Linked DNA regions of Oryctolagus cuniculus. The protein of the gene in region 7 interacts with the protein of the main gene of each other region in a pairwise test. Links are inferred from orthologs where the notes say so. Each region holds a gene or a part of one and is shown on either strand. Other genes may lie near its edges. The genes, in order: WT1, RWDD2B, SH2D4A, LAGE3, AP1M1, HDAC4 and KRT40.

Evidence for each region.
Region 1: the proteins of KRT40 (region 7) and WT1 interact in binary tests that used the Homo sapiens proteins (3 or more experiments, as listed by UniProt). The two-hybrid records come from large-scale screens. The link is inferred for Oryctolagus cuniculus from reciprocal best matches to the Homo sapiens genes KRT40 and WT1.
Region 2: the proteins of KRT40 (region 7) and RWDD2B interact in binary tests that used the Homo sapiens proteins (3 or more experiments, as listed by UniProt). The two-hybrid records come from large-scale screens. The link is inferred for Oryctolagus cuniculus from reciprocal best matches to the Homo sapiens genes KRT40 and RWDD2B.
Region 3: the proteins of KRT40 (region 7) and SH2D4A interact in binary tests that used the Homo sapiens proteins (3 or more experiments, as listed by UniProt). The two-hybrid records come from large-scale screens. The link is inferred for Oryctolagus cuniculus from reciprocal best matches to the Homo sapiens genes KRT40 and SH2D4A.
Region 4: the proteins of KRT40 (region 7) and LAGE3 interact in binary tests that used the Homo sapiens proteins (3 or more experiments, as listed by UniProt). The two-hybrid records come from large-scale screens. The link is inferred for Oryctolagus cuniculus from reciprocal best matches to the Homo sapiens genes KRT40 and LAGE3.
Region 5: the proteins of KRT40 (region 7) and AP1M1 interact in binary tests that used the Homo sapiens proteins (3 or more experiments, as listed by UniProt). The two-hybrid records come from large-scale screens. The link is inferred for Oryctolagus cuniculus from reciprocal best matches to the Homo sapiens genes KRT40 and AP1M1.
Region 6: the proteins of KRT40 (region 7) and HDAC4 interact in binary tests that used the Homo sapiens proteins (3 or more experiments, as listed by UniProt). The two-hybrid records come from large-scale screens. The link is inferred for Oryctolagus cuniculus from reciprocal best matches to the Homo sapiens genes KRT40 and HDAC4.

Annotation. Positions count from the first base shown.
Region 1 is NC_091432.1:33,511,556-33,516,195, forward strand, and holds the start of WT1 (Wilms tumor protein), read left to right. Parts: upstream 1-1,530; 5' UTR 1,531-1,939; coding exon 1,940-2,387; intron 2,388-2,737; exon of another isoform or gene 2,738-4,640. UniProt on the Homo sapiens protein: Transcription factor that plays an important role in cellular development and cell survival. Recognizes and binds to the DNA sequence 5'-GCG(T/G)GGGCG-3'. Regulates the expression of numerous target genes, including EPO.
Region 2 is NC_091435.1:16,633,663-16,638,205, reverse strand, and holds the start of RWDD2B (RWD domain-containing protein 2B), read right to left. Parts: upstream 3,245-4,543; 5' UTR 2,809-3,244; intron 2,668-2,808; exon of another isoform or gene 2,485-2,667; intron 1-2,484.
Region 3 is NC_091439.1:3,493,632-3,497,694, forward strand, and holds part of SH2D4A (SH2 domain-containing protein 4A), read right to left. Parts: intron 2,212-4,063; 5' UTR 2,013-2,211; coding exon 1,832-2,012; intron 1-1,831. UniProt on the Homo sapiens protein: Inhibits estrogen-induced cell proliferation by competing with PLCG for binding to ESR1, blocking the effect of estrogen on PLCG and repressing estrogen-induced proliferation. May play a role in T-cell development and function.
Region 4 is NC_091453.1:132,705,370-132,708,853, forward strand, and holds LAGE3 (EKC/KEOPS complex subunit LAGE3), read right to left. Parts: upstream 2,035-3,484; 5' UTR 1,948-2,034; coding exon 1,739-1,947; intron 1,467-1,738; coding exon 1,338-1,466; intron 1,058-1,337; coding exon 943-1,057; 3' UTR 742-942; downstream 1-741. UniProt on the Homo sapiens protein: Component of the EKC/KEOPS complex that is required for the formation of a threonylcarbamoyl group on adenosine at position 37 (t(6)A37) in tRNAs that read codons beginning with adenine.
Region 5 is NC_091447.1:64,739,557-64,743,619, reverse strand, and holds part of AP1M1 (AP-1 complex subunit mu-1), read right to left. Parts: intron 1,316-4,063; coding exon 1,189-1,315; intron 1-1,188. UniProt on the Homo sapiens protein: Subunit of clathrin-associated adaptor protein complex 1 that plays a role in protein sorting in the trans-Golgi network (TGN) and endosomes.
Region 6 is NC_091434.1:1,667,032-1,671,094, forward strand, and holds part of HDAC4 (histone deacetylase 4), read left to right. Parts: intron 1-2,533; coding exon 2,534-2,618; intron 2,619-3,337; coding exon 3,338-3,479; intron 3,480-3,615; coding exon 3,616-3,655; 3' UTR 3,656-4,063. UniProt on the Homo sapiens protein: Responsible for the deacetylation of lysine residues on the N-terminal part of the core histones (H2A, H2B, H3 and H4).
Region 7 is NC_091448.1:21,607,602-21,612,343, reverse strand, and holds the start of KRT40 (keratin, type I cytoskeletal 40), read right to left. Parts: upstream 3,217-4,742; 5' UTR 3,151-3,216; coding exon 2,704-3,150; intron 2,028-2,703; coding exon 1,945-2,027; intron 1,686-1,944; coding exon 1,529-1,685; intron 880-1,528; coding exon 718-879; intron 640-717; coding exon 514-639; intron 1-513. UniProt on the Homo sapiens protein: May play a role in late hair differentiation.

The DNA.
Region 1 (4,640 bases), on a different chromosome or scaffold from region 7:
CGCGACCCCCAAGGGAAGGAAACTGTGTCCAGCAGTCCTGAGCGGGCGGAGCTGACCGAGGCTGCGTCCACACAACGCAGGGTAAAACCGAAGTCTAAGAAATGTGGAACGGGTCTAGGCGACCGGAGCACTCGGCTTCTTTGACCAACTGCGACGACCTCCATGGTCGCTTCACTTAGGCGCCGCTGGAGCCGCGGGCCCCAGCCCCGGCCTCCCGCGCGAGGCCTCTCAGCAACCGGCTGCTTCCTGCCCCGCGCGCCTGGCAGTCCCAGGCTGCGCCATCGCCGCTGCCTCCTGGCGCTCTGCGTGTCTGTGCGCCGCTGAGGCGCTCCCCGCTTCGGGCTCCCGGCCCTTCTCCTTACCCATACGCTGGTTCCCGATAGATCTTCACTACTTTGGAAGAACTCACAAAACAAAACCAACTCCCCAACACCTGCTCTAGCGCGCGGGGCTCCGCGGGACAGCGCCTAAGTGGAGGGAGGAGTCTAATTGGCGAAGCCACGCGCTCGGAGCCCCCCACGGTGCGAACACTGCCGCGCAACGTAGAGCCGAGGCAGGCTCTCCCTGTCCCGCTGCGTCCTGGGCCTCGTGTCCATCGCTTTGCTGACCAGAAGCAGAGGCAGTGCCTGGCAGAGCGGTCTCAGGAGCCAACCTCTCTCCGCAAGCATCGCATCCGAACCCTCCCCATTTCCATTCCTCTTTCTCCCTCAACTGGGCGCCGGGATGCTCCGGCCAGAGTATAGGCAGGCTCCGGGTGTTTTCCCCAAGGGTTCTCTTTCCTCCCAAACTAGCCTCGCTTTTCCCGGCTTAACCGCACAACTGGATACTCCTTGGGAGAAAAGGAAAATACGGGCCGCTGGCAGCAGTTTTAGGTAGGCGGCAACCGCCCCCCTCTCAGACCTTACCAACTAACCCACGCCCAGACGATCCAACACGCCCCGCTTAGCGTAACTGATGCCCAGCTGGGGCGCTTTTGCCCTGGGTCTCGACCCCCGGAATCCACAAAGGGGCCGCCCCCACCCCAGTGACCCGAGGATTACGGACATCATCCCAACTCGACGGCTCGTAAAGCAAGAGCCGAAGTCGCGGGCGCAAATACCCAGGGTATCCGCCTCTTTCTTCGCTCCCCTTCAGTTCCCGCCCTCTTGGATCCCACCTGCTCCTCCCTCCAGCCCGCCCTCTAGGATGAACCACCCAGCTCCAAGGATGCAGAGGGGGTCACACGGCTTACCTGGAGGGACTCGCCCGCGGCCTTGAGGCGCCCACACTCCTGAAAGCTAGGATGGGGCGGTGGGGGGAGGGCTGCGCCACACAGGCCTGCTGAGAGCGCGTGGCGGGTGGGAGAGGAGGGTGTCTCGGCGAGGGACGCTCCCTCAGGCCCGCCCCCCCCCGCCCCCGCGGCGAGGGCGCCCCCAAGGAGCTGTGCGCGCTGACCAGCGCGGCTAGGGCTGCGGTGTGAATGGAGCGGCCGAGCCTCCAGGCTCCTCCTCCTCCCCCGCCGCCGGCCCCTCTTATTTGAGCTTTGGGAAGCTGGGGGCAGCCAGGCAGCTGGGGTAAGGAGTTCAAGGCAGCGCCCACACCCGGGGGCTCTCCGCAAGCCGACCGCCTGTCGGCTCCCCCCTTCCCGCCCTACCTCCCACTCACGCACCCACCCACCCAGCCACCCAGAGCCGGGACGGCAGCCCAGGATCCGGGGCCCTGCCGCCTCCTCGCCGCGATCCTGGACTTCCTCCCGCCGCAGGAGCCGGATTCCACGTGTGCCCCGGAGCCGGCATCTCAGCACGCGCTCTGCTCGGGGCCCGCGTGCCTTCAGCAGCCCGAGCAGCCGGGAGTTCGGGGCCCGGGCGGCATCTGGGCCAAGTTAGGTGCGGCCGAGTCCAGCGCCGAGCGTCCGCAGGGCCGGAGAGGCCGCGGGGCGTCCGCGGTTGAGCTGCAGCAGATGGGCTCCGACGTGCGGGACCTGAATGCGCTGCTGCCGGCCGTCCCCTCGCTGGGCGGCGGCGGCGGCTGCACCCTGCCAGTGAGCGGCGCCGCGCAGTGGGCGCCGGTGCTGGATTTCGCGCCCCCGGGCGCCTCGGCTTACGGTTCGCTGGGCGGCCCCGCGCCGCCGCCCGCTCCGCCGCCACCCCCGCCGCCGCCGCCGCCGCCTCACTCCTTCATCAAACAGGAGCCGAGCTGGGGCGGCGCGGAGCCGCACGAGGAGCAGTGCCTGAGCGCCTTCACGGTCCACTTCTCGGGCCAGTTCACCGGCACAGCGGGAGCCTGCCGCTACGGGCCCTTCGGCCCTCCTCCGCCCAGCCAGGCCTCCTCTGGCCAGGCCAGGATGTTCCCCAACGCACCATACCTGCCCAGCTGCCTCGAGAGCCAGCCAGCTATTCGCAACCAGGGTGAGTCGGCGGGGGAGCGCGAGGCGGCGGCGCCGGAGCTGTCGCCGCGCGTGGCCTCTCCTCTCCCCTCCCCCGTCCCGGATCTCAGCTCTGGCCCCGCAGCCTCCGCTATGGCCGTGCGGGTGGCGGAAGCGTTGGCCAGGGAGCGGGGGAGCGCACGCCAGTAGAGGCTCCCGACATTCTCCACAGCGCGGCAGAGCGGGGAGCCTAGCGGTTCGCATGAGCCGGGAGTCCGCCTGGGGCCCCGCGAATCCTCCCCTCACGGGAATGGAACAAGGGGAAGGGTACAGAGTGCGGCCAGGCCTCGGGCCACGAGTTGTTTTTTTTTTTTTTTTTCCCCTGCTTTTGGCGCCTCCAAATTATCACTAGGCATTGCACTTTTTAGACGTGTGTAGATGGTGGGGTCAGGTTGGGAGCAGCGCGGGTGAGCATCCCGGGCCTGCCTCCCCGCCCCGCCGCGCCAAAATGTCCAGGAGCTCCCCAGGTATTAATACGGTGCTGGCACACACTGGCACCCAGGAAGAACCGTGGGGCAGTGACCAGGTGGCTTGCCTGAGCCGCGCCTGTGCTGGTGGAGAGTGCGCGCCTTAGGCGGTCTCTCAGGTTTCGCTCAGGCAGCGGCCACGCGAGGCTCCAGCCACGGACAGGAACCCAGCTTACCCGATTCCAAATGCTACCGCAGGCATTTAAGGCCGGAGCAGATGCCCTTGGCGCGCCTCCTCGTAATGTAAACCAGGGAGAGAGTTTGCAACCTGATGCGTTAGGACAAGGCAGGCTTGTTCGCCGTCTTCAGTCGATTCCCCCCGAGCGACGTCGGCCGGTGATTCTCTTATACCCGCGCGGGCGTCCACGCGCGTGACGTTTGGTCCCGACCAGCGCAGACTCCTTTAGAACGAGCGCCTGTGGTCCGGGCCCTTCGTTTATTCTCCTTGCATGTCTCTGCTGTTGAGAACCTTAAACCGGTTCGGGTTGATGGGATGTTTTAGGAAACGCAATGGCGGACGCTTTTCCTGGATCACCACCTCGCCCAGGCCCAGGACTGGGATGGTTCTAGAATGAGTGGGGTAGGAGGAGCACTGTTGTGCACCGTGTTCCCGAAGTACCAGGAGGCACGAAGTACCCTGAGGCACGGAAGAAGAGGTTGGCTCTTCTCGCTCTCACCTGCGTCTTCTGAAAGAGGGTCTGCGTGGCTCTCCCGACCACCCAGGAGCCCTTGGCCCAGCCGAAGCCGTGGCAAAACCGAAACCATGCAGTTTCCTCCAGAGAAATCTGGGAACCGGGTCCCACGGAGGAACCTTAGGCAGACCCCAGGGCCCCTCTCCGCCTCTCGGGAATGAAGTTTTTGGAACGCAAGGGCTGTTGGAAGCACTTACTGTGGCTCTCAGAGACTCATGTTCTCGGGGCGCTCCACCTCTTACTGTAGGCTGCTGTTAACCTTTATGGAATCTCCAGGTCTCAGTTTCCCCCTCTGTCAGAGGAGAGTTGAGATGGACAATTGGAGGTTGGGTCTGCCCTCAGAGGTGTCGGGGAGAGAAGTGGCAGTCTGACTTCTCCCAGCGCGGGGCTCTCCGTCCAGGACAGAGTAGCGTACCTTAACAGCCCAGGGTTCCAGACGCGCCGCCGCCCGGCAGGTGTGTGACACAAGTCCGTGGGTGGACTTGTGTTATCTGGAGAGACCCTAGAAGCTTCCTATCCAAGACCCCGGGGGAACCAAAGACTGCCGCACCTTTATCTCCGTTTTGAGTCTCAGTTCTGCCCTGCGAATCTTGAAACCTGGGTTCTCTGGCTTTGGTTGGGGCCCCAGTGTCCAGTCTCCTGGTGGGCAGGTGCTTAGATTCCATCAATTCCACCTACATGTAGGGGCAGAGGTGAGGTTCTCAACCAGTGGACACTGCACTCCTGGGGACAGTTATAAGGCCCTTCCAGTGGACAGGCTTCAAGAGTAGGAGTGGGAGACCAGAATGAACAGGTAACTGCATCTGCCTATCCTTCCCAGGGGGAAAGCCAGATGGGGAGATGGCCCCAAGTCTGCCAGCTTAGATTTTTCTCTCCCAAACAAAACAGAAATGGGTTGAGCAGGCCCAGCCCTTGGGGGTCCCTTGGCAGCTGAGAGCTGCAGTGAGATGTGAGCCTATCTGAATGGCCAAAAAGGGAAGGCCCTTAGTGCCTCCAGAGTCCACATGTATTCTTTTGATTTCCCTGGGTTCTTGCAGCTCCCTTAGAAAGCAGGACTTGGCCCAATGCTTGGGGCTA
Region 2 (4,543 bases), on a different chromosome or scaffold from region 7:
AGGAGGCATAGTGGGGACAGTTTCTGGTAGAAAGCTCTTTGAGGCAGGAAAGCACTATAGTGGTGGGGGCTCTGCCCTCTCTGAGCACAAGAGAAATAGTACAGACCAGAACCTGCCCCTTCTTCACAATCCCAACTGTCAAGGCCTCATTCAGGGGTTCATCATGTGGTCTGTTTTCCTGCAAACTAGTTATTTCGCTTGTGCCTGCTAGGCTTCAACAGTTTTTTGAACTTACGTAGCTTTTTTAAAAATAATTTTTTTTATGTATTTGAAAGACAGAGTTAGAGACAGACAGAGAGATCATCCATCAGCTCGTTCACTCCCCAGATGACCACAGTGGCTGGGAACTGGCCAAAGCGAGGAGCCAGGAGCTTCTTCTGGGTCTCCCATGCAGGTGCAGGGGCTGAAGCACTTGGGCCATCTACTGATTTCCCAGGCCATAGCAGAGAGCTGGATCAGAAGTGGAGCAGCTGGGAGTTGAACTGGTGCCCATATGGGATGCTGGCACTGCAGGCAGTGGCTTTACCCACTATACCACGGCGCCAGCCACTGGGTAGCTCCTAAAACCCCAAAGTTATAAAGTTGATGGCAGAAAAATGGCCCAAATTTAATCCATTCATAGTGTTTAGGAGCTGTACCTAGTGGGAGGTTCTCCGGTCAACGGGAGAGTGCTATCAATAGTAGTTCTCTCAAGAACACTGGTTATAAAAACCAAGTTGAGTTCATCTATTTTCCTTGCTTCCTGGCTTGCCATGTGATTCTTTCTCCACCTGCTTTCCCCCTTGCTATGTGATGCCTTGCATCAACTCAGGACTCTGCTCCTATGAATGTGATTATCAGATACCAAAAACCTGATCATGGACAGCAAAACTCCAAAACTGTGAGCCAAAATAAACATTCTTCCTTCATAAATATTTCACTGTAGTAATGAAAAGCTGACAAATAAGTACCCTAAAACTATTCCTGGCCCTTCTCTGCTCTGGACAGCTGACCTCTGTAACCCACATCACCCTGCTCTTCTGACTTTCTTGTGGTTGGGTTCAGCCAACATTCAGGCAGGAAATGAGAGGACCGGAGGAAGAGCCCAGAGTCTTTCTTCATTATTCCTTCTTTGCTTTGGAAGGATTCTAAACACCACAGTTCTGCAGGAAGCCCAAGAATATGGCACATTTTCTGCTGCCTGTACAGGCACATTAGGAGGAAGCTGGATCAGAGGTGAAACAGCTGATACTGGAACTGGCACCCTGACATGGGATTCTGGCATCACAAGAAGCATCTTAACCTGTTACACTGCAACCCCAGTCCCAAGGCCTCTCTTGTGAGATGACTGCATGGAAGAGACTAGAAGGTACTCAAAAGGAAACCATGTGTTTATCTGAGCAAAGGGTGCGCTAGGCAGAAGGAAAAGCATGTTCAAAGGGGCAGGAGGTTCTAAAGCACCTGGCTAGGGCATGCTGAGCAGGGGGCAGGGTGATAGAAGAGGTTATATTGGAAATATGGAACCTTGGTTTTTATCCTGATACGGAAGGTCACTGGAAAAGGTCTGACACTTGATGCTCAAGAGAACAGAGGAAAGCAAGGAGACCACACAGGTACTGCCGTGACTTGGAGAGATGAAGATGGCTTGGGGGTCAAGGCAGTGAGCAACCATTAAGATTTTGAACATACGGTCGGCGCCGTGGCTCAATAGGCTAATCCTCCACCTTGCGGCGCCGGCACACCGGGTTCTAGTCCCGGTCGGGGCGCCGGATTCTGTCCCGGTTGCCCCTCTTCCAGGCCAGCTCTCTGCTATGGCCAGGGAGTGCAGTGGAGGATGACCCAGGTGCTTGCGCCCTGCACCCCATGGGAGACCAGGAAAAGCACCTGGATCCTGGCTCCTGTCATCGGATCAGCGCGGTGCGCCGGCTGCAGCGGCGGCCATTGGAGGGTGAACCAACGGCAAAAGGAAGACCTCTCTGTCTCTCTCTCTCACTGTCCACTCTGCCTGTCAAAAATAATAATAATAATAAAAAAAGATTTTGAACAAACACAGTAGAGCACACAGCATTTCCTGATGGATTACATGAGATAGGTAGCCATGATTCCAAGGCTTTCAGCTACTGGAAAAGATGGATTTGCCATTTATTTAGATGGAGGAGATTGTGGCGATCTATAGCTTGGTTTTTGACATATTAAGTAATGAAATGCCTATTGAGACACCACTTAGAGATGTCCAGAAAGCAGCTGAATACAGATACATAGAAGAATTCAGCTGCAGATGTAAGTTGAGGAGTCATCAACGCTTATTTAACGTTATGTGTTTAAAGTCACCCAGAGGGAGGGTCAAGTTGGGAGAGGGTCCTATTGAGTTTGGGGTCTGGAAAATGAAGCGGAATCGACAAAGTCTGTCAGAGGACCAGTGAAAGGACAACAGAGGAAGTGAGGTCACAAGGGATGTCATTTATTTGCCAGACGGTTTTCGTTGATGAGAATTTTCCGACTCACGATTTAAAGGATGTACAATGCAAGTTGACTTTCGTGAGTGGGCTCGGCCTTGGTGATTACTATTGTTCGCCAAAGAGCACCACCGCCCGCGTCCTGAAAGGCGCCCACCGTTGGGGAACTGGGGCCCCAGCTAGAGACGGGAATGTCGGGCCCCGGCTGCAGGCGGGGCACGAGGGCGAGGTCGGTTCCGACCAATGAGAGAACGCGCAGCGCGAGGGGAGGCGGAGCCACGACGTCGGCCAGTTCCGGGAAGGCGGTACGCACTGCCGCGGCGCAGGAGCCCCAGGCCCGCCGTCCCTGCTGCTGGGCGGACGGGAGACTCACCTCTGGCAGCAGCTCCCTCACTGCTGGAGCTCCAGGCTTCCTTGCTGCACGGACTGCTCAAGTCGCGTCTGGAGGAAGCGTCGGAATCCGCGGTTACGGCCGCCCGACCTTTACTCCTCGCTCTTGCGCGGTGGCCTGGGGGGCGTGAGAGCGCGCCCTCAGCTGGCGCATGCGCGCAGGCCAGGCCGCGGGTTCCGGAAGCCGAGGACGCCCTGATCTGTGGGTTCGGCTAGACATCGGCACCGGCTTGAGTTTTCCTCTAAAGTCGGATCAACAGAAGGAATTCTTTGGCCCCGTTAGGTGCGTCTCACTCGCAGAGTCTTCCTTTTAGGGCCCTCTGCATTCCAGCCCCATCGGCGCTTCCCACCGCTGGCTGTCGGAGTGGAGCGGGCGCCGTGTCCTGGGACGCGGATCTGCCCACTCAAGTTGGGCTCCCGCAGCGCCTGCGTGCCTGGGAATCCTTGGGGAGTCCTGCCGCGGTACAGATCTCTACTGGGTAGGGAGGAGTGGGGTCCCAATTAGCGTTTCTAGTCTCTCCACGCAGTGGTGGTCCTTGTCCATGAACCATAGAGGAGCAAGACACTAGGGTGATGGCCTGTGTTCTTACCTGGTAACCAAGCAGGGAGGACCGGGTGAATACGCAGAATTATTTATCTCTGTTACTGAAAGGAGAGTTAGAAGGAGATTCCAGCACGGGGGGTAGTTACAGGGTGTTCCTTCTCATTCTGTATGCAGTGCACTTTTTGTAGTGTTGCACGCTTATTTTAGGAAAGTCGTAAGGTTTGTAGGTATTGATATTCACTGGTAGCTATTATCACTGCTAACTTCACAATCTTCTCTTTAAAAAAATAAAAGATGATAGTAAATAGGTCTTCAGAGCTGCATCTGAAGGCGCTTGTGTTTTGTGAATGGTTTTCAATGTTATTAATTCTTTTTCCTCGAACCGTGGGTATAGAAAATCTAAAGCATAAAATAAGGATGAGAGATTTTTACAGTGAAGCAGTAGAACATTTCTCAAGGAAGAGTGCCTTCACCCCTGTTGAGCAATGTCAGAACACATTTTGGGTTGTCACCACTGGAGCGATGCCACTGGCATCTAGTAGGTGGAGCCTCGGGATGCTACTCAGTTGTCTACAATCCAGAGAATGTGCCACTACAACTAAGAACTTGCTGGTCCAAAATGTTGATATTGTTGAGGATAAGAAACCTGTTTTTAAAAATGTTTAAAGTTTATTTTCATTTATTTGAAAAGTGGAGACAGAGATCTGCCAACGGTTAGTTTACTCCTTAGATGCCCCAAACAGCTGGAGTGAAGCCAGGCCAAAGCCAGGTACCTCCAGCTGGGTCTTCCATATGGGTGGCAGGAACCCAGGTACCTGAGCCATCACATGCTGCCTACCATGGCATGTATCAGCAGACAGCAGGAATTTGAGCACCAAACACCAGCTCTGAGATTAAAAGCAAAGATGTAGAGAGATCAGCATAACATTTTTTACTTTACCTGCTTTGTCACTCATCAATCCATTTTTTTCTGATACATTTTATTTACTTTTAAATTTGTTTCTTTGAAAGGCAGTTACAGAAAGAGAGTAAGATCTCCCATGTTCTGGTTTATTCCCCAAATGACTCCAATGGCTGGGGCTAAGCCAGGCAGAAGCCAGGAACTCCATACTGGTATCCCATAGTGGTGGCAGAGGCCAAAGCACTTGGGCTGTCTTCTGCTGCTTTTACTTGC
Region 3 (4,063 bases), on a different chromosome or scaffold from region 7:
GGGCAAACACCTCGGAAAAACAAAAGGCTTTTGCTAGGGCAGGTATTTGGAACGCTGCTGGAAAGCCCACCTCTCATACCAAGAGCCTGGGCTCCCATTCCAGCTCCACGCCTGATTCCAGTCCCTGGCAGGCCCCAAGAAGCAGCAGATGATGGCTCACGTGGCTGAGTCCCCCTCACTCACATGGGAGACCTACACTGACTTCCGGCTTTGGCCTGGTCCAGCCCTGGCTGTTCCAGGCACTTAAGGATAAAGCACTGGATGGGAAATATCTCTGCCTCTAGTTTCTAATACGTAATTTAAAACAAAAGGATTATTCTTCAGCTGAGACGTGCTACTCATTGAAGAAACAACTCTATTCTAAATAGTGTGGAGTAACGTGAAATCCAACAGATCTAGCGGTCTAAGAGGCTTCAAAAACTTTCTGAGAAGTGGAGTCTCAAGTATGAGTTTATTTGGTACAAAAAATTTTCATGCAAAAAGCAAAAAATTTTTCACGGTGCATGGCAAATGCATATCATAAAAAAAAACGATGGGTTTCAAACTTTGTTTTGTACTGAAATAAACTCACTTTTAGTTCTATTAGTCCACAAACCCTTTGAATACTAAATAAGGCAATTAATGAGGATTTTACAAAAGTTTCTCCACTTCCAATCCAGCTCTCTGCTGTGGCCTGGGAAAGCAGTAGAAGATGGCCCAAGTCTTTGGGCCCCTGCACCCACGTGGGAGACCTGGAAGAATCTCCTAGCTCCTGGCTTCGGATCAGCGCAGCTCCGGCCTTTGAGGCCAACTGGGGGGTGAACCATTGGATAAAAGACCTCTCTCTCTCTCTCTCTCTGCCTCTCCTCTCTCTGTGTAACTCTTTCAAACAAATAAATATTTAAAAAAAAAACATAGTGTTCATCAAAGCACATGGCAGTGTCTGAAGCACCACATTGCTAATAAACAGCTGATGTTGACAAAAACAATAATAAGTGAAGTATTCCTTAGCATTATGAAGGCTTCATTAAGAAGCAGTTTTAATAAAGGCAGCGTTAAGTTAAGTTAAGTTAAAGGTCACTGAACCAACTTCCTCTCCCAAGCACACAAGTGAGATTCATTTTCTCAACCTCACAAGCCTGCAAAGATCTTATCAAACGTTATTCTTCCCTGGCTTAATGAAAAATGAGAAGAAACTGCCCTGGAATGCCTTCGTAAGCGACCCTGAAAATGGCTTTGTTTGTTAACCGCTTTGGGGTTCGTCCTCAGCAGAGCGTGTGCTGGGATGGGGCGTGCAGACGGACACACAGCAGAGCGGTTCACCCGCTGCTCCCCGTCTGTGCAGGTCAGTGTTCACCGGTCGGTGCCCCCTCCATGGTCTCAAAGAACCAAAGACCCCTCTCAACGTGCCAGGGACTCCTCTGGTGTGAGGAAGTACTCCTACATCCGAGCACTTGACTCCCACTAAAAAACAAACAGGACATCACAAGTCCTCTTTGTTGTAGCTCCTTAGATTTTAACAGGGAGCATTCCTGAAACAGAAAAAGACAGCTCGCACGGCTGACCCAAGAACTCTGTGCTCTGCCAAGCCAAAAGGCACCTCCAGCAGACAGGGGAGCAGCAACCTTCCTCCCACCAGCAGGTCAGGCCCCGGAGCTGACCTGTCCTTCGGCCCCTGGTCAACAAACAGCCTGAGTGACCGCATGGAAAACGCCGCGCCTGTGAGTAGCCTACAGGTCAGCAAAGCTCTCTTTCAGGATCCGTCCACCACCCTGCACCCGGCCTGCGCGTGCTGGCGTGAGGGTGCCAGAGCGGCCAGCAGCCAGGCCTACCACGGCGCGGCTGGGCTCACCTTTCCTGGGTCTGGGTGTCACGGGCAAGGCCTCCTTCTTTTCCAGCGCCGCTTCTCTCTCTTTCCACCGCCGGATCTGCTCCTCCCTCATCTTGAAGAACAGGATCTGCTTCTGCTCCTCGCTCAGCTCGGCCAGCAGATCGGGATCTATGTACATCTCCGAGAGTATCTGTTTCAGCATCTTGGCGCTTCTGGAGTCTTTTACAAAACCCGCGGCCAAAGTTCCTGAACGTGGCCTGCAGATGCGGTGCCGGGTGCACCTCAAGGACTCCCAGGGGCGCACGTGGCCTGGTGATCACGGAGGACTGGGAGGGTAACTCAGCAAACCGGCTCCTGGGCCGTGGCACCAAACATCCTGTTCAAAACGCCTCTCGCCAAACCTGCAAAGAGCAAGCATGGGCTTCTGCATAAACCTTGGAGGAAATTCAGTATCACTTTTCACTTCTTGGCCGGGGGGTGGAGGTAGGGGTTGAGAAACCTCCAAGCAAGTTTCAGAGTTTGTGCAACGTCGATCCCATCCCATAATTTCCAAAGGCACTCTATAAAAAACAACACAACAACAACAACAACAACAACCACCCTAACTTTTTACAGGCCAATCTCAGGAAAATAAAAAAAAAATTTTTAAATTTTAAAAAAACAAACAGAGGTTTGGCCTTCTCCCAACCACACAGACATATTATTAGCTCAAAACCTAGCAAACCACCAACTGATGGCTAAAAAAAAGCATAACAGGAAAAAAAAAATGGGGGAGGCAGGAAGAAATTAAAAGGCTCTTTCCATACAACCTATTTCAAAAGAAAATACCATGTTTGAGATTTCACAGTTACGGATTCCAAACCAAACCAAACCAGAGCCATGCTCGGGGAACAAAAAAGAATAAAAAGGTGACCACCATGCAACTTTGACATGTTCCCTTCAAAGCAGCACTTAAGAACACCATCATGTATTTGTCCTTTCACACTAAGACAGTGCAATTTCCAGTCGACCTATGAGGGCTGTGGAAACAGCAGGTGCAGCAGAGAACACCCAAGCACCTCCTGGGAGGTCCCTGGGTTTAAATGTGCCTTTCCCAGACACCTCCCTTCACAGAATCTACGACCTGCGAAATACAGAGGCCCTGAGGTTCCTCACACAGGCCTTTGATTTCTAAAATGCGAGAGAAGGTGACTTTAGAATGAAGCCATGCACTTGGGCACACACAGAGGGGTGGGGGTGGCAACTCCACCAAGGTCTTCCATGCTGTTTACACATTTCCATTTGGCTGAATGTTTTAGAAAGATGCCAAGCCTTCATAATTTTATAACTAGAAAGAAATTATTATTCTGAGGGAGAAAAGGGACTTTGTTTCAATATAGCAGGATATGCAAAATCTTACTATAGTTTTTCAGGGTCATTGATGTTCTAGATAACTGGGTGCTTACCATGCCTCTGTAATCGCACCTGCTAACCACACCCTCTCAGATTATCTGGTTCCTCCATGGTAAGTTCAAATACTCGTAAACTTTAGACTAATAACTTAACCCTATCACAGCCACAATGGTTTGCGTTCCTCTTATTCTCTTCCCTGCCACGCGTGATGCTGGAGCTTCGTGTACCTGTCACCACCCGGAATCCCTGGCAGCGTCCCCCGGCCTCCTCTTCCTCACCAAGCGGCTTCCCAGCCCACACCAGTCCTTCCTGACAAGCATGCTAGGTGGCCAGGGTTTGCAGACACGACACTCAGATTCACCAACTGCTGGCTGTGTAGCCTGGCCATGTTGCAGCAACCGCTATTCTCACTGCAACCTACAATCTACTGCAGCTTTCAACTACCTGAATCCAGTGAAGCGAACATTCCATGAACAATTAACTGCAAGGAGGGTCCCTGACTCTAACTCCGGCAGGCACATCCCTCCCAGGTCCTTTGCTAACGTTGTGTCACCTCCTGGCTTTGAGGTGACCCTCCGAGGCTTTGGCCACAGAACTGCTGTCTTGCAACGATTTCTGCACTCTGATTCTAACAGCTTCTAAAGGTAGGGAAGCCAACTAAACCCACATCCTAGAGATGATACTCCTCAGGGCCGGCGCTGTGGTACAGCAGGTTAAAGCCACAGCCTGCAGTGCCGGCTTCCCATATGGGCACCAGTTCAAGTCATGGCTGCTCCTCTTCTGATCCAGCTCCCTGCTGATGAGCCTGGGAAAAAAACAGAGGATGGCCCAAGTCCTCTGCTGAGCCCTTGTACCCACGTG
Region 4 (3,484 bases), on a different chromosome or scaffold from region 7:
TCTTAAATTGTCTACAATTAAATTTTACCTTTAAGATTTATTTATTTGAACAAGTGACACAGAGAAAGGTGTGATGGTTCACCACACAAATGGACCAGACTGAAGCCAGGAACCTGGAACTCTATCTGGGTTTCACACATGGGTGGTAGGGGCCCAAGGATTTGGGCCATGTTATGCTGCTTTTCCAGGGGCATTGGCAGGAAGGTGGATGGGAAGTAGAGCAGCTGGGACTCAAACTGGTACTTATACGGGATGCCAGCAACGTAGGTGGCAGCTTAACCCACTGTCCCTCAACACCAGCCCCAACTTGCATTTTTTTTTATTTATTTTTATTTTTTGACAGGCAGAGTGGACAGTGAGAGAGAGAAACAGAGAGAAAGGTCTTCCTTTGCCGTTGGTTCACCCTCCAATGGCCGCCGCGGCCGGTGCACCATGCTGATCCGATGGCAGGAGCCAGGTGCTTCTCCTGGTCTCCCATGGGGTGCAGGGCCCAAGCACTTGGGCCATCCTCCACTGCACTCCCTGGCCACAGCAGAGAGCTGGCCTGGAAGAGGGGCAACCAGGACAGAATCCGGCGCCCCGACCGGGACTAGAACCCGGTGTGCCGGTGCCGCAAGGCTGAGGATTAGCCTAGTGAGCCGCGGCGCCGGCCCCCAACTTGCATTTCTTAAACATGTGAATCTCGTTTCTTCCACTGCAACTCCAGGACAATGGCAAGGATATTTGTATGTGAAAAGGATATGAAACTGGGAAGAGGTCAGTTTTATTTTCTGTGGTAGCAAACATTTAAGCACTGGTGAAAACAAACAGATCTTGAGCACCCAGAACCCAATGCAGGCAAGCCATTAGGCCCCATCCTGCTTCGGGCATGATCGCCCTAGGGAGACACATTTTCTAGGAGGCGAGCAAGGTAACAACTGGGCCCCTTTACCCAGTCCAGTCTTAGCGGGCAACGGGAGGCCCGAAGCGCTGCAGGGTGCGCACCACCAGGGAAAGCTGCTCAAGAAAGCTGATGATGGAAACTCGGAGGAGGCGAGGATCTTTAGCTGTCCAGCGGCTAAAAGGGAAGGAACAAGAAAATCAAGTCGGGGACAGTAGCTGCCCACATCCCTTGCTCTACCCCTCAGGCATCCAGTGCAGCAGATCCTGGAAGCCCCGGTATTACAGGGCCTCTCGGGCAGCGTCCCAGACCTGCTCCTTAGACTTCCCCCGGAGTGCCTCCAGGCCTCCCAGCCTACCTCTCAGTGGAGAATGGCCACATCCCCTGTTGCCTTCCCCTCACCGCCTCCCGCTCCCCCACTCCTGCCACCCCACCCCCGGCCCCCGGAAGCATTTACACCGCCAGGACGGTGCCGGTCACTGCGAGGTCCTTTCCAATCGCTTCTGGGTGAGGCTCAGCATCTGGAGCCAGGGACTCACAGGCGATTTCTGCCTCCAGACGGGTGGGAAAAGGCACACTGAGGGTACTGGTGGAGGTTTGGTAAAGGCACCATCGGAAGCGACTTTGCCCGAGTCTGTTTCCCTGGCTCTTCTGACGGCTTCCATGACCTCTCTCGGGCGCCCCCCACTGGCTAACGCTTTAATCCCACAGCCATCCGGGCGGCTCCGATTACCCTGCTCTTCTTTCTGTGCTACCGGTCCTCCCACTCGCCCTTCCCACCTTCTGTTCCAGGCTACCCTGCCCCCACCACGGGCAGCCTCCACCCCCTTCCCCCACTGTGCCCCTCCCGCAGGATACAAGGAGTGTGGTCGCATTCCCGGGCTTGCGGCTGCTGTCGCGGCGTCTCCGCCCGGAACGGCAGCGTGCGGTGCCTGCGCGACTTCTCGAGTTCCACGGGCTGCAGCTGCTTCTGTGTCGGTACCATCGGGAAAGTCGCGGCCACGCCGTCCACGCTGGGTGTGAGCGCCGCCCGCCACGCCGCCTGCGCCTGCGTCCGCAGCCTGCATGGCTGCCGCTGCCCCGCCCTCAACCCCACCCTCAGGGCGCTGCGCCACGGCCCGCCATCTCCAGGAGCTTCGTAGATTGCCCGCCCTCCTGAAGCTCCGCCCCTCGCGCACGACCACGTCCACGCGCGCCTGCGCAAACACACCTTTGACGAGGCTGTTGGGACGCCTCGTGAGTTCCCGCGATAGTGGCCCAACGTGGGGGCTCTTGGAGACCCTGGCAGCTTCAGAAACACTGCATTCGTGATTCGATGCTAGTGCGCTAGCCAGAACATACCTCCAGTGAAGCAGGCAGATGCGTGGTCGGTTCCCGACAACACAGCGCTGCTGGTACCCACAGGCCCTGGAGAAACTGAGCTGCAATATATATTTTTTTTAAGATTTATTTATTTTGGGGCCGGCGCTGTGGCTCACTTGGTTAATCCTCCGCCTGCGGCGCCGGCATCCCATACGGGCGCTGGGTTCTAGTCCCGGTTGCTCCTCTTCTCTCCAGCTCTCTGCTGTGGCCGGGAGTGCAGTGGAGGATGGCCCAAGTGCTTGGGTGCCTGCACCCGCATGGGAGACCAGGAGAGGCACCTGGCTCCTGGCTTCGGATCGGCGCAGCGCCAGCCGTAGCGGCCATTTGGGGAGACCTTCTCTCTGTCTCTTTCTCTCACTGTCTAACCCTATCTTTCAAATAAATAAATTTTAAATAGATTTATTTGAAAGAGAAAGAGGTCTTCCATCCACTGGTTCACCAGTTGCCCGCAACTGCCAGAGCTGCGCCAATCCAAAGTCAGGAGCTTCTTCAGGGTGTCCCACACAGGTGCAGGGGCCCAAGGACCGGGGCCATCTTCTACTGCTTTCCCAGGCCACAGCAGAGAGCTGGATTGGAAGAGGAGCAACCATTTCATAGCGTTGCTGGCTACAGCCTTACCTGGTAAACTACAACGCCACCTTGGCTCTAGATTTTTTTTCCGTCGCTGAAGTTTGCCAAATGTATCGTAGTTCCATTGTATCAGTTCGTTCTGTTAGGTAACAAGATCGATCTCAGACTGTGTGTGAGGCTGTTAGGTAGCAAGGGAGAGATTAGCTGTGTGTGTGAAGAGGGCCTAAGGAAAACAAAGCCCTGGTGGAAAGCAATGTAGCAGCCTGGGACGTGCACTTGGGCAGCAGTCCTGTATTTTTTTACACGACAAAGCCCTGTCCACCCCCGTCACTTTATTGGTGGCCCCAGCCTTGCCTCCCAAAAAGGCACCCCAGGAGAACCCTCTGTCTGGCGCTAAGCAGGCTGCTCAGTCTGATAACTGGGTAATAAAACTTTGGGAGGGATTTCACCCATTTCACACCCAGCAAAGCCCTTGCGGGGAAGAGAAACAGGGAAGAACTGGACCCCAGTCCCTCAGAAGGCCCGGTCTCAGTGCGGACTGGGCTCTCAGCTCAGCTCTTGGTTCTTTGGCGCTTGGCCCATCAGGAAAGTTCTAGCCGCTGAACCTTGCCCTCCCCATTCTGAATGACTGGACACTCGCTCAGGTGCCCAGTTCCGACACGTGCCCTGCCT
Region 5 (4,063 bases), on a different chromosome or scaffold from region 7:
GTGTGTGCCCTGTGTGTCTGTGTGTGCGTGTGCGTGCCCTGTGTGTGGGCTCCTGTGGCCCAGGCTGCCCCTGCGAGAGCGTCCTGCAGGGGACAGGTGTGTGTGTGTACACTGTGTGTGTGCACTCTGCGTGTGTGCACTGTGTGTGTGTGCGTGCCCTGTGTGCAGGCTCCTGTGGCCCAGGCCGCCCCTGTGAGAGCATCCTGTGGGGGACAGGTGTGTGTGTGTACGTGCACTGTGTGTGTGCACTCTGTGTACGTGCACTGTGTGTGTGCACTGTGTGTGTGTGTGCCCTGTGTGCGTGCACTGTGTGTGTGTGTGTGCCCTGTGTGCGGGCTCCTGTGGCCCAGGCTGCCCCTGAGAGAGCGTCCTGCAGGGGACAGGTGTGTGTGTGTATGTGCACTGTGTGTGTGCACTCTGCGTGTGTGCACTGTGTGTGTGTGTGTGCCCTGTGTGCAGGCTCCTGTGGCCCAGGCTGCCCTTGAGAGAGCGTCCTGCAGGGGACAGGTGTGTGCACTGTGTGTGTGTGTGTGCCCTGTGTGCGGGCTCCTGTGGCCCCAGGCTGCCCCTGAGAGATCGTCCTGCAGGGGACAGGTGTGTGTGTGTGTGCTATGTGTGTGTGTGCACTGTGTGCCCTGTGTGTGGGCTCCTGTGGCCCAGGCCGCCCCTGGGAGAGTGTCCCGAGCTGCAGAGCACGGGGCACGCGGGTTCCAAGCCTCCTCCCGGTGGCGGCCCAGCTCACCGGAGTCTCCAGCAGGCAGCCCAGGGCCCAGACAGGGGAGCTGCTTGGATGGAATGTGTCTGCTGAGTGACTCTCAGACCTGGCTGCGTGAAGCGTGGGGGTCCCCGAGGGCTCGCGCCCCGCCACTGGGGCCTGGGTCCTCTCTCAGCTTTGTACTCCACACATGGCAACGTGGGTCAGGCTCTGCTCGCCCAGAGCAGGCAGAGCTGCTGGGCAGGCCTGGGCACGGCCGCAGTCCGGAGAAGGCCTGCGCCACCCCAGGCTGAGCCCCTGCGTCCCCTGCCCCACCCTGGGAGCACCAGCCAGCCTGCGAGAACGGGAACCCGTGTGTGGCCCTCACCCAGTGCGGACCCAGAGCCCCAGGAGAGGGCAGAAGCAGAGCCCCGAGGGACGGGAACTGCACCCTGGGTGTCTGAGGCCCCCGCCCAGCGCGGCCGGCTACTCACGGCCCGTGTTGTCGAAGAGGACCTTGTCGTTGAGGCCCAGGCGCAGCTCGGGCATGCCCGAGAGGAAGACGCGCATCTTGATGGAGCCCACGATCTCGCTGCGCAGCACGTTGCCGTTGGCGCTCACCTGGGGGGCGCGGGGCGGGGGGCCTCAGCTCACCCTGTGCTCCCAAGGTTCGCCTCCCTACCCAGCCCCCTCCCGGTAGCCCAGCTCAGGCCAGGCCACGCCCTCCTCCCACCCACACCCTGCTCAGAGTCCCGGGCTCACCCCTCCCCCAGCCTTCACAGCAGGGGCTGTGGCCGCCTCCCCCCCCCCCCCCCCCCCCGCCCCAAGGACTCTGACCCAGGGACACTAGAACACTCGCAGGGCATGGGCCGACCCTGGAGCCCAGCCGAGCCGAGGCAGCGGGGGCCCAGTGCCTGCCGCAAGGGTCTGAAGGCACCACGTGGCCAAAGGGCGCCCGCCCCTGCAGTGCCAGGCGACAGCCCTGAGACCGACCTGGAGAGACAGGCTCTGCCCTCCGTGTCTCGGTGGCCCGTGGGGGTCTGTCTCTGTCTTCCCCTCCAGCAAGGGGCAGGCTGCTGGCTGCTGTGTCCCCCGGGAAGCAGCGACTGGCCCACCTGGGCTCCAGGACAGGGCACCTTGGGATCGCACCTGCGGCGCTGTCAGGACCCTGTGTGCTACCTGCCGGCCCCTCACTGCTCTCCTCTGGGAGCTGCCTCCCGCAGCTGCGGGTAGGCCTGGGAAGGCGCTGATGCCAGCCCCGTGGGCAGCACTCGGGGCTGTGGCCTGCGCTGAGGTGGCACCCCAAGTGCCCCCAGCCGGCCAGGGCGGGCGCTGCCGAGATGTTTGCCAGGGCCCGGCTGCTCCGGCACCCTGCCCCGTCCAGCTGATCGCGATCTGGAGGCAATGGTGACGCGGCCATGGGCTCTGCAGTCAGACCTGGAAGGTGGCAGCCCCACACCCGCCCTGGTGCCAGCCAGGGTGCAGAGGAGCTTGGCCCTCCCGGCGGAGCCATACTCTGCTCTCTCCAAGTTACTCCCCCAGGGCACCCTGGGCAGGATCACAGCTACTGCGGCCGCTGTCACAGGGCAGGCAGCTCTGCTCGAAGCGCCAGTCCCACAGCTGGAGGCTTAGCTCTTCAGAAGTCCCAACCAGGGCCGGCAGGTGGCCCGGGCCGCCACACAAGCTGTTGCCTGAGGGCACAGCAGGGTGACCCACCTGCTGGGACTGGCTGAACCCACAGGTTCGCCCGACAGCAGGTGCTGAACCAGAGCTCAGGCGGAGAGTGCGCCTGAGGTGGGGGCGGGGAGCAGCTGGGAGAGAGCGAGGTGGGCAGGTGGGAGAGGGCGAGGTGGGCAGGTGGGAGAGAGCGAGGTGGGCAGGTGGGAGAGGGCGAGGTGGGCAGCTGGGAGAGGGCGAGATGGGGCAGCTGGGAGAGGGCGAGGTGGGCAGGTGGGAAAGGGCGAGGTGGGCAGGTGGGAGAGGGCAAGGGGGGGCAGGTGGGAGAGGGCGAGGTGGGCAGGTGGGAGAGGGCGAGGTGGGCAGGTGGGAGAGGGCGAGGGGGGCAGGTGGGAGAGGGCGAGGTGGGCAGGTGGGAGAGAGCAAGGTGGGCAGCTGGGAGAGGGCGAGGTGGGCAGGTGGGAGAGAGCAAGGTGGGCAGCTGGGAGAGGGCGAGGTGGGCAGCTGGGAGAGGGCGAGGTGGGCAGCTGGGAGAGAGCGAGATGGGGCAGGTGGGAGAGGGCGAGGTGGGCAGCTGGGAGAGAGCGAGATGGGGCAGGTGGGAGAGGGCGAGGTGGGCAGCTGGGAGAGAGCGAGATGGGGCAGGTGGGAGAGGGCGAGGTGGGCAGCTGGGGAGAGAGCGAGGTGGGCAGGTGGGAGAGGGCGAGGTTGGCAGGTGGGAGAGGGCGAGGTGGGCAGCTGGGAGAGGGCGAGATGGGGCAGCTGGGAGAGGGCGAGGTGGGCAGCTGGGAGAGGGCGAGGTGGGCAGGGGAGCCTCCAGCTGGGCTGTGGGGCCACAGTGCGGATTCCTGATACTCGGGAGCAGGGCACTCACGCAAGACACGTGGGACAGCGGGGCTCTCTCCCCCGGCTTCCACCCACAGGACCCAGGGAGGCCCCGGTAGGGAACAGAGGGCCAGGGGCCCAGCAACCCACCTCCTCAGGCTACACACAGAGACCCGTGAGGGGACCTAAGATCCCAGGCCCCAGACGGAGCCCCAGCAGCGCACGTCTGGCACGCAGGCCTTGAACACAGAAATGATTCTGTGGCCCACAGGCTGAGCGCTGAAGTGGTGGCCTGAACCCAGGCAGGTGGACTGCTGGCTAAAATGAGAGCATCAACACTTCCCTTACGTTGTAAACGAAACCTAGAACCTTATCATAGGTCACGGCCGACAGCCGGCATGTAAGCCAAAACCACTCAGCACACCAAGAGCTGCGAACATTTCGGAACATGGCCCCGAGATGTCAGCCCTGGCGCTGACGCTGGGATGGTCTGAGGCCCAGGGACGCAGGGGAAGAAGAGGAAACCGAGACCAGCCAGGGCCGTTCCAGGAGTGTGGGGCTGGGAAAACCATCGCGGCACGCACATCGACAGTGCAGGAAGACACCCGACGTGACCGCCAGCTTCCCACTCTCCAACTCTGCCTTTCAAATGAACGAGCTCGTGTTTATTTATTTGAAAGGCAGAGTTACAAAGAGGGAGAGGGGGAGGGGCGAGAGGAGGAGAGGGAGAGAAGAGGAGAGGGAGAGAGGGGGAGAGGGAGAGCGAGATCTTCCATTTGCTGGTTCACTCCCCAAATGGCCACAATGGCCGGGACTGGGCCAGGCCGAAGCCAGGAGCTTCTTCCGGGTCTCCCACGTGGGGAAGGG
Region 6 (4,063 bases), on a different chromosome or scaffold from region 7:
GCTCCTTCTCTGTGTCTCCATCCTCCGCCCCCTTGCTAACTTCTTCACCCCCCACCCCAGTACTGTTTTCTGAGTGTGTGTGGGAGGCCCCACACAGCTCCTCACATGCGTGCCGTGTTTGTGGTCTGAGCACGGCCTCGTGTCCACCGTGACTTCCTCCTTGCCTCGGGAATCACCGTGCTTTTAAATTTCCAGACGTAGGGGCTCTCTCTGTTGCCAGTCTCTAACCAAATGCACCGTGGTCAGAAGAGGCCTGGCTGGCGCTTGTGTTCCGTGGAACGTGTGTGGTGGCTGCTGTGGTCAGTCCACATGGCACTGCACACGTGTTTGGCATCACATGTGTCTCCAGCTCTGCAGGACTTGGTTTGTGTCCCTTACCCATGCTGCCTAGTTGCACATTTTTGTTTCTTCACCGGTTTTTGTCCGCTTGGCTGCTGGGTCTAAGACGAGTGGGACGCTCCCCCGTGGAGGCAGATTTACCCCCGTCTGCCTGCGTGCATCTCGTCGTGGCAGAGGGGCCCTGCCCGCGTGCACGTGGTGCTTGCCTTGCACCCCGTGTGCCACGTCTTCCAGCACTGCGACCCAGGGGTCTTGTCCTTGACCATCAGCCCCTTCGGGCCGCAGACGCTGCTTCTGCAAAGGGCATGAGGCTGGCTGTGACTCGCTCCCTGCAAGCCACACGTCCCTAGTTCCACTTGACCATTACTCAGCCCATTTCCTTTGTGGTCATTTATTTGAAAATCAGAGTTACAGAGAGAAAATGAGATGTCCCATTCTCTGGTTGATTCCCCAGATGGCCACGGCAGTCAGGACTGGGCCTGGCTGAAGCCAGGAGCTTCCTCTAGGTCTCCCACGTGGGTGCCGGGGCCCAAGCACTTGGGGCATCCTCCGCTGCTTTCCCAGGCCATCAGCAGGGAGCTGGATCGGAAGTGGAGTGGCCGGGACTCGAGTTGGCACCCTTATGGGATGCTGGTGTTGCGGGCGGCAGCTCCACCTGCTGTGCCACAGCGCTGGCCCCTGTTTATTTTTTTGAAATGCAGAAAGAGAGAGACTGTGAGAGATCAGTCTTCCATCTGATGGATCACTCCCCAGGTGGCCACAGTGGCCAGGACTGGTTCAGGCCTAAGCCGGTGCCCAGATTCCATCCAGCGCATTGCATGTGGTGCAGGGGCCCAAGGACTTGTGCCATTTCCTCGGCTTGCCAGGCGCGGGAGCTGGGAGCTGGGACTGGAGGCCGAGCAGCCAGGATGCTGGTTGCAATGCCAGCTCCAGACAGCGCAGACGCTTCTCTGGCTGCACCGACAGCACCAGGCCACGCTTCCTGCGGCATGCCCGCGTGCCTATCGGCTCCCTCGGCCCCTGAGGTTGTCCGCCTGGTGTCGCCATCCTGCCTAGGCATGGATTTCCCTTCCTGTTCTGCCTGCCGGGTCTTGCCCCTCTCCCAGGCTGCAGGCCCCAGGGCCGGAGCCCCGTGTCTGGCTGCCCCTCGTCCCTTCTCCCTGTTCCCTGAGGACCTGCGGGCAGCCGCACAGACCCCCACAGCCCACCCTCTGGGCTTGCTCTGGGCCACTGCCTCGGGTGCCCCTCCACACGGTGTTCTCCTGTCTGGTCTCATCGCGTGCCCAGCTTTCTGCTGCCACGCTTGGATTGCTAATTCATTCTCTCTCTCCCTCTCTCCCTCTCCCCCTCTCCCCCTCTCCCCCTCCCCTTCCCCCTCCCCCAAGTCTTCCAGGTCAGGTACCGCACTCTCTGGCTTTTCCTCACACATGAGTGTTTTCCTGTGTGTTTGAAGTGCAGTAAGCGTGTTTTAAGTTGTAACTGACGGTTTCAGTGACTGCAGTCTTGGGGGGTCTAAACCAGCTCGTTTAACTTTTGATCTCTGGGAGGTTTTAAGGTGTACGGAGCCCTCGCGCCAGTGCCCTCCTGGGCGGCTTCCTCTGTGCTGGCCTCCTCCTTGAGCCCCAGTCACCGTGCACAGCTCAGAGACCAGCTCCAAGCCGAGCCACACCAGGGACGGGGCAGGGGCAGGGGTGGTGTACAAGTGATCAGGATTCTCCGTGGAGGAGTCTTACCTCCCCGGTTGGCCCCTGGGTCATTCACAGGTGTCCCTGTGGACTCGCCTCTGCCTGTCATTCTGTGCCAACAGGGGATGGGCCCAGGAGGGCAGGTGGGGGGATGGCCACCAGCGGCCTGCAGGAGATGCGGGAGCAGAGCGGGTGGAGAGGAACACGATGCTCCTAAAGCACACTAACCGCTTCCCCTGGCGTGGCCCGGGGGCGGAGAGCAGGCAGCAGCTCGCGCCCGGGCCCTGTCCTCCCTCCACCTGCCGGCAGGAGCGCCGGGAGCCCGCGGCCAAGGCCGGGAGGAAGTGAGCTAATAGATTCCCGCGGCCACGTGAGCCTTTCTGAGTGTCCTCTTCCCTGCGGGCAGACGCACTCCACGAACGGCCCGGCAGCGGGCAGGGGCAGGGTTGGCCCCGTGCTGCGACAGCCACGTTGGCTGGGTAGCCACTGTGTGTCCCTCTCTCTTCCAGCTCGACCCTCTGCCCGAGCAGGTGGTCCAGCAGAGACCCAACGCGAACGCCGTCCGCTCCATGGAGAAGGTCATGGACATCCACAGTGAGTGGTCGGGCCCAGCCGCTGTCAGCTGGCCTTTGCTGAGCGGGTAGAAGCAGCCACAGCCTCCCGTGACGACACATTACCCCACTGCACAGGCCAGAGAGCGGGGGCCCCAGCAGCGCCGGGCAGCCCAGGGCTGGGGGCCCGAGTGGGGGGCTGCAGGGCAACCTCCTACCACTGCCCTGTGAGCACAGGCCCTGGGGGACCCCTGCCGGCTCGCCTGTCTCACACGTGTCCGCGCCGCAGATCCCTGTTTATCTCTGGGTCTCGGAGACCCGAGTGGGCAAGGCCCTCCGAGAGGTGGGTAAAGCCAGACATCGGCTCCCGGTGTGCCTGTGCGGGGGCTGGGTTCCTGGCCTAGAGCCGCTTCCAGCCCCGGGCACACCCCCAGCGTCTGTCAGTCCCAAGGCAGGGGCCCCACGGGAGCCCCCACCCCCAGTCCCACGAGGTCCCAGACATCGGCTCCCGGGTTCCTGGCCCAGAGCCGCTCCCAGCCCCGGGCACACCCCCAGGTCTGTCAGTCACTGCACTTGCGGGGACCTGTAGGTGCGGAGGGAGCGCCAGGTGATCCCAGGCAGGCTCGATGCCCCTGGCTACCCGGAAATGTTGCCCAGACGAGTGGGCTGGCCTGCCGCTTCAGAGAGGTGCTTTTGACTCGCGAGACCCCGGGCCCTGCGACAGCTCCTGCCTGGTCCTGAGTGCGCCTTCCCCGCCCGCAGGCAAGTACTGGCGCTGCCTGCAGCGCCTGTCCTCCACGGCCGGGCACTCCCTGATGGAGGCGCAGAAGTGCGAGAACGAGGAGGCGGAGACGGTCACGGCCATGGCCTCGCTGTCCGTGGGCGTGAAGCCGGCCGAGAAGAGGTGAGCTCGCGGGCCCTGGCAGAGCCTGGGAGAGGTTCCGCCCTGAGCAGGGGGCCGGGGCGGGGCCGGGGCGGGGCCGGGCCGGGCCCTGCGGTGACGGCCCTGTGGTTCTCTCCCCTCTGCCCCCTCCACGCAGACCCGAGGAGGAGCCCATGGAGGAGGAGCCGCCCCTGTAGCGCTCTGGAAGGCGCTGTTCCCTTGTTTGTTTGTCTCTGTCTTGAAGCTCAGCCAAGAAACTTTCCCGCTCACCCGCGTCTGCCGCGGTGCCCCCTCGAGTGCTGGGGCGCAGGCGCGTGGCCGCAGCGGGAGCCCTTCTGCCGCCCACACGCGGGCCTGGCAGCGTCCCGCGGAGCACGGGACAGACACGGCAGCGAGCAGACACACGGACACGCGGAGGCCAGGCACACCGCCGGCTCCCAGGAGGGAAGCCGCCAGAGGCCTGCGGCGACTCGTGGCAGGGTTGCCGGATTCAGTCGATGCAAGGAACAGAAAATGAAATCAAAGATCTAATAATGCAAAACAGACTTGATCAAAACTGGTGCTTCAAGTTCGGTTAGGACCCACAATTCCACAGTCTCCGTGTA
Region 7 (4,742 bases):
CTGGAACTGGCTAGTGTAATCTTGCCTGCGTGGTAGCCTTGCTGCCTGCGTGGGCTGGGTGGCGTGCAGTGAAGGATCAGGGTGAAGTGTGGATCCTGAGAAGTGTTATGATCATTGTAGGGTGAAAAGTTTAAAGTCTTTGTTTTAGTATAATGGTGATCTTGGCATATTGGCCTGATCAAAAGAGACTTAAAATCCTCTGGACTGCCTACGTGCTATGCTGCTGTGGCCTCTCCACTCCTGCCTGTCTCTGGGGGGTGCCGCAGGATCGCACTCAGGCCTGCGGGGAAGGTTAGAACACCCTGGTGGGCCGGTGCAAGCTGTTGACCTGTCACTTCTGCCTCTAGCTGGGTAAGCATGGTGGTTGGAAAGGCAAGGAAGCGGAATCCTTGCAACTTGGAAATCCAGACCTGCCACACGAACTGGGGATCTCTGCCTTGGGTTGTGGGAAAGGGTGTTTGTCAGAGCCCGATTTATCAGTGACAAGGCGGACACCTTCTTTGCCATACGCACCAGGCTTTGCTGTGCCTGAAGTTCAATTTCCAGCGTGTTGGCTGTGCGTTTCAGCTCCAGCATCTCCGTCTGGCAGCCCTGCAGCTGCTCTGCACTGGACAGCTGCTGCTGATTCAGCTCCTCTGTCTGAAACACAGGCATGGTTAGAGAACCCTGCCGAGGCACATGCGGGGAGTCCTGCTCCCATGTTGCTTCGGGCCTGACCTGAGCAGCGAACCACTCCTCCACGTCTCTGCGGTTGTTGGCGAGCAACGTCTCATACTGACAGCGCATCTCATCCAGGACCTCGTTGAGGTCGATGGTGGGGGCGGTGTCCAGCTCCACACTGAGTCGGTCACCGAGCTGGCCACGGAGCAAGTTGACCTCCTGAAAGTGGGAAGGGAGTGAAGAATGTCACAGAGCAGTAGGGCAAAATCCATCCGACACACAGTGGCATCCCATTCCCGAGTTGTGAAATACTGAGTAAAAGTGTAGGATTTTAATTCTGATGCCCTGGGCTAATTCTCTTTCCCCCCCCTTACAAGTGCCCAGTTTCTTCTGCAAAATTGGCATAGTAATTTTATTTTGTTCTGGGGGATTATTGTGAGATATGGAAGAGTTAATATGTGCATACATATAAAGAATTTAGGAAGTTGCTTCAAAGAGGATGTTCTCAGTAAATGTGAACTGTTGTCATCATCCACAAATGCCCAAAGAGAAAACACATCTATTACATGATTCTGCACTTCATTTTCTGGTTCATCAAAACGAGATCAACACTTTCGTATTTTATGATTTTAAAAAGTTCATAGAAATGGGATATTTAAAACTGGTCTGGATACCAGAGGCGTCTTCATGCCCTATCTGAGGTGGACGTCACAGTGGAGTGGTCAGGCTGAGCGCAGTAGAGCCTCGAGGAGTGTTAGTTCAGCTTCAGCAGCGTTCTCCCAGGTTCAGTTTGCACACATCAACTTGAACTCTACCAGTGTAACGTTTCCACTCTTAGACTCCTTCTGGGTTGCTGCCTCTTTCTCACCTCTTTATGGCTTTTCTTAAGGCAAAGGAGATCATCCTTCAGAGACTCCACTTGGGCTTCCAGATCAGATTTGCACAGGGTCAGCTCACCCAGGATCCCACGCAGGCCACTGATGTCATTCTCCACCAGCTGACGCAGGGACAGTTCACTGTCGTACCTTACACAGCAAGAGAGATACATGCAATGCTGCTTTCCCACACACCGTGTAAGTGCTGGGTGCACTGGGGGATTGACACACAGGCTCAAGGAAGCCGCATGCTGTCGTTTATTTTGTGTATGAAATAATTACAAATTTGAGCTTTTAGAATATTTTAGCTTGAAAAAATTATATAGAGAATATTCTGTGTGTGTGTGTCTGTGTGTAAGAGACACAGAAAGAAAACCACAAATTATATTCAAATTGCAGGTAAACTTACTTTGTCCGAAAGTCCTCAGCAGCCAGTTTGCAGTTGTCGAGCTGTACAGCAAGTCTAGAATTCTCTGCTTTCGTGCACAAGATCTGAGAAGCAAGTTATTAGGTAAAGTAAATGGTTCTTGGAAAGAAACCTGAACACCTGTACCCTTCATGGCTCTGCCATTAGTTGTCTGTGAGGGGATGTAAGAAAGAATCAAGCTGCTTTCAGCCTGCTTGCTTGTTAACTTTGTGACTTACTGAAGAGAAAAGGCAGTGCCAACTTAGAATCAAAGCACAGACATGAAAAGGGCTCAGGACATTTCCCAATATTGCTTGGCAGTTGAATGCTGTTCAGGTCTTCTGCATCAGTAGTTTGTATTAGAACTGTATCCCCACCAACAGTAATAGAAATTCATCCGTAAGAGAAGAAAATGATTTCTAGGTGAAATTGTATGATATAACAATGGCATTTCAATTCTGGTGTAAAAATTGATATAAATGTGCAGGGATGCATATGGAAGTGCCACACACACACTCTATAGGAGATACAGCTGAAGACCACCAGCCCCTGTCCCCATCATAGCCCCTTGGTGAACAGGGGCAGCTGTGGGGCTGCTGCTGACTCCTAACCTTCAGTCCTGTGCCCTCTCTTTCATATCTCATGAACTCACAGATTTCGCCTTTCCTTTGGTTTCTTTCCGCAAGAATGCCTCTTCTAAGGTAAAGGTAAAGCCAATCGTAGATTAGGAAGGTGGAACATTAAGGTGACGAGACACGGAACCTTTTGCTGGAGATCTTCAATGATGTTGAAGTAGCACTGACAGTCAGGGCACGGCAGTGGGATACTCTCTTGACACTGTTCTCGGATCTTGCACTCCAGCTCGGCGTTGGTCTCCTCCAGGCTGCGCACCTTCTCCAGATAGCTGGCGAGTCTGTCATTCAGGAGCTGCATGGTCTCTTTCTCGTTGCTGTTGAGCATCCCATCCTCACACCACGCGCAGCTCCCTGCCAAGCATGGACTGTCACAACTCCCAACCAAGTAGCATGGCGTGAGGCAACGGGTGGACAAGCAAGACCTGGAGAGGAAGCCGGGGCTCCGACATCTGCCTGCAGAGCCGTCACTGGGGAGACAAGTCCTTTCCAGGGAGTGGGCGGAAGCAGGTGCACAGCCAGAGGCTCTGGCACAGGACTCAGAAGAGCAGTGTGTGTGGGAAGCTTCGGAAGTCATTCTTGAAGTGATGAGCAGAGAGTGTCTGCAAAACTCCTTTGCTTTGACTCAAAAAGTCTCCTTCCTTCCTGAGACTTTTATATAGCACTTCCCTGCCCTGGGTATTTACCGGGGCACCAGATGTTTTCTGTACCCTGTCGGTACCAGTTTCCATACAAACGTTTCATTAGTGTTGTTTATTTATGGAGGAAGAGTTTCATGCCTCATAAAAGAGGGCTAACTTTAGGTTACTAAATCAGGCCCTACACTATTTCCACAGGTCAGTAGAACAAAATTCTTATTTCAAAAAATCATCATAGAAAGTATTGTCCTTTTGACAGAAAGAAAAAATTCAGCCAAGCAATAATGACAGGTACAACCCATCACCAGGAGGAAAACTACATGGCCCCAGAGTTTGATTCTGTGCACTGATCCTTGTGTCTACTTTCGAAAGCTAACCTGTAAGACCTGTGCCTGTTTATGGGGCACGGCGCAATATTTCAACACATGTACATGGTGTAAACAGCTCCCTTCAGCATTTCCACTTCCTTATCTTTGCTTTAAGTTTGGAGCCTATGGACTCCCCTCTTCTACTTTTAAAATGAGCACTACAACTCAGTAACGTTTATTTGTTTGTGTTACCGCCATAAAAATGGTGAGTGTGATGGGTAATATTGCCCTGCTTTTTGCGAACAGTGAGATGTGTATGGCTTTTAGTGTGTGTGCTGTGCACATGTGTGCCATCTCCCTGTATAGCAATAGAAGAATGCTGTGCACTGCTGATGGGAGCAAGTTGTTCCTGGCAGAAAAAAACATAAATTGGTCATCAAGACCTGGAATTGGATCTTTGATTTTCTGAAACTTACCTCCTCTGTGTTTCCTGCACATCATTTTTGATCAGTTATGCTATTTTTTAAACTTGTATTTTTTTTTTTTTTTTTAACAGGCAGAGTGGACAGTGAGAGAGAGAGACAGAGAGAAAGGTCTTCCTTTTGCCGTTGGTTCACCCTCCAATGGCCGCCGCGGCCGGTGTGCTGCGGCCGGCGCACCGCGCTGATCCGATGGCAGGAGCCAGGTACTTATCCTGGTCTCCCATGGGGTGCAGGGCCCAAGCACTTGGGCCATCCTCCACTGCACTCCCAGGCCACAGCAGAGAGCTGGCCTGGAAGAGGGGCAACCGGGACAGAATCCAGTGCCCCGACCGGGACTAGAACCCAGTGTGCCAGCGCCGCAAGGTGGAGGATTAGCCTAGTGAGCCGCGGCGCCGGCCCTAAACTTGTATTTTAATAAGACTGAAATGGAAGTTCTAAGTTACAGTCTTTCTTTCTTGGGAAATCCTCCTTGATTACACTTCAGGGTAGGGGAAAAGAAATCATGGAAGTCTTTTTTCTAGATATTGAATCTATTTTTAAAATTTAATCAAGTCCTAAATTCTGTGAAAATTAAAACTCCTGGAATTTGGAGAATAAAATTCTATCATATTGGTCCCAAACCAGCAGTTTCATTGGGAGAAGTCTCTGCTGCAAGAGTGGATGGACAGGGACTTGAGATGTAGCTTTGTTCATTGTCTCTTGGATTTAACTTCTATTATGAAGCATAATCTATTTCTTGGC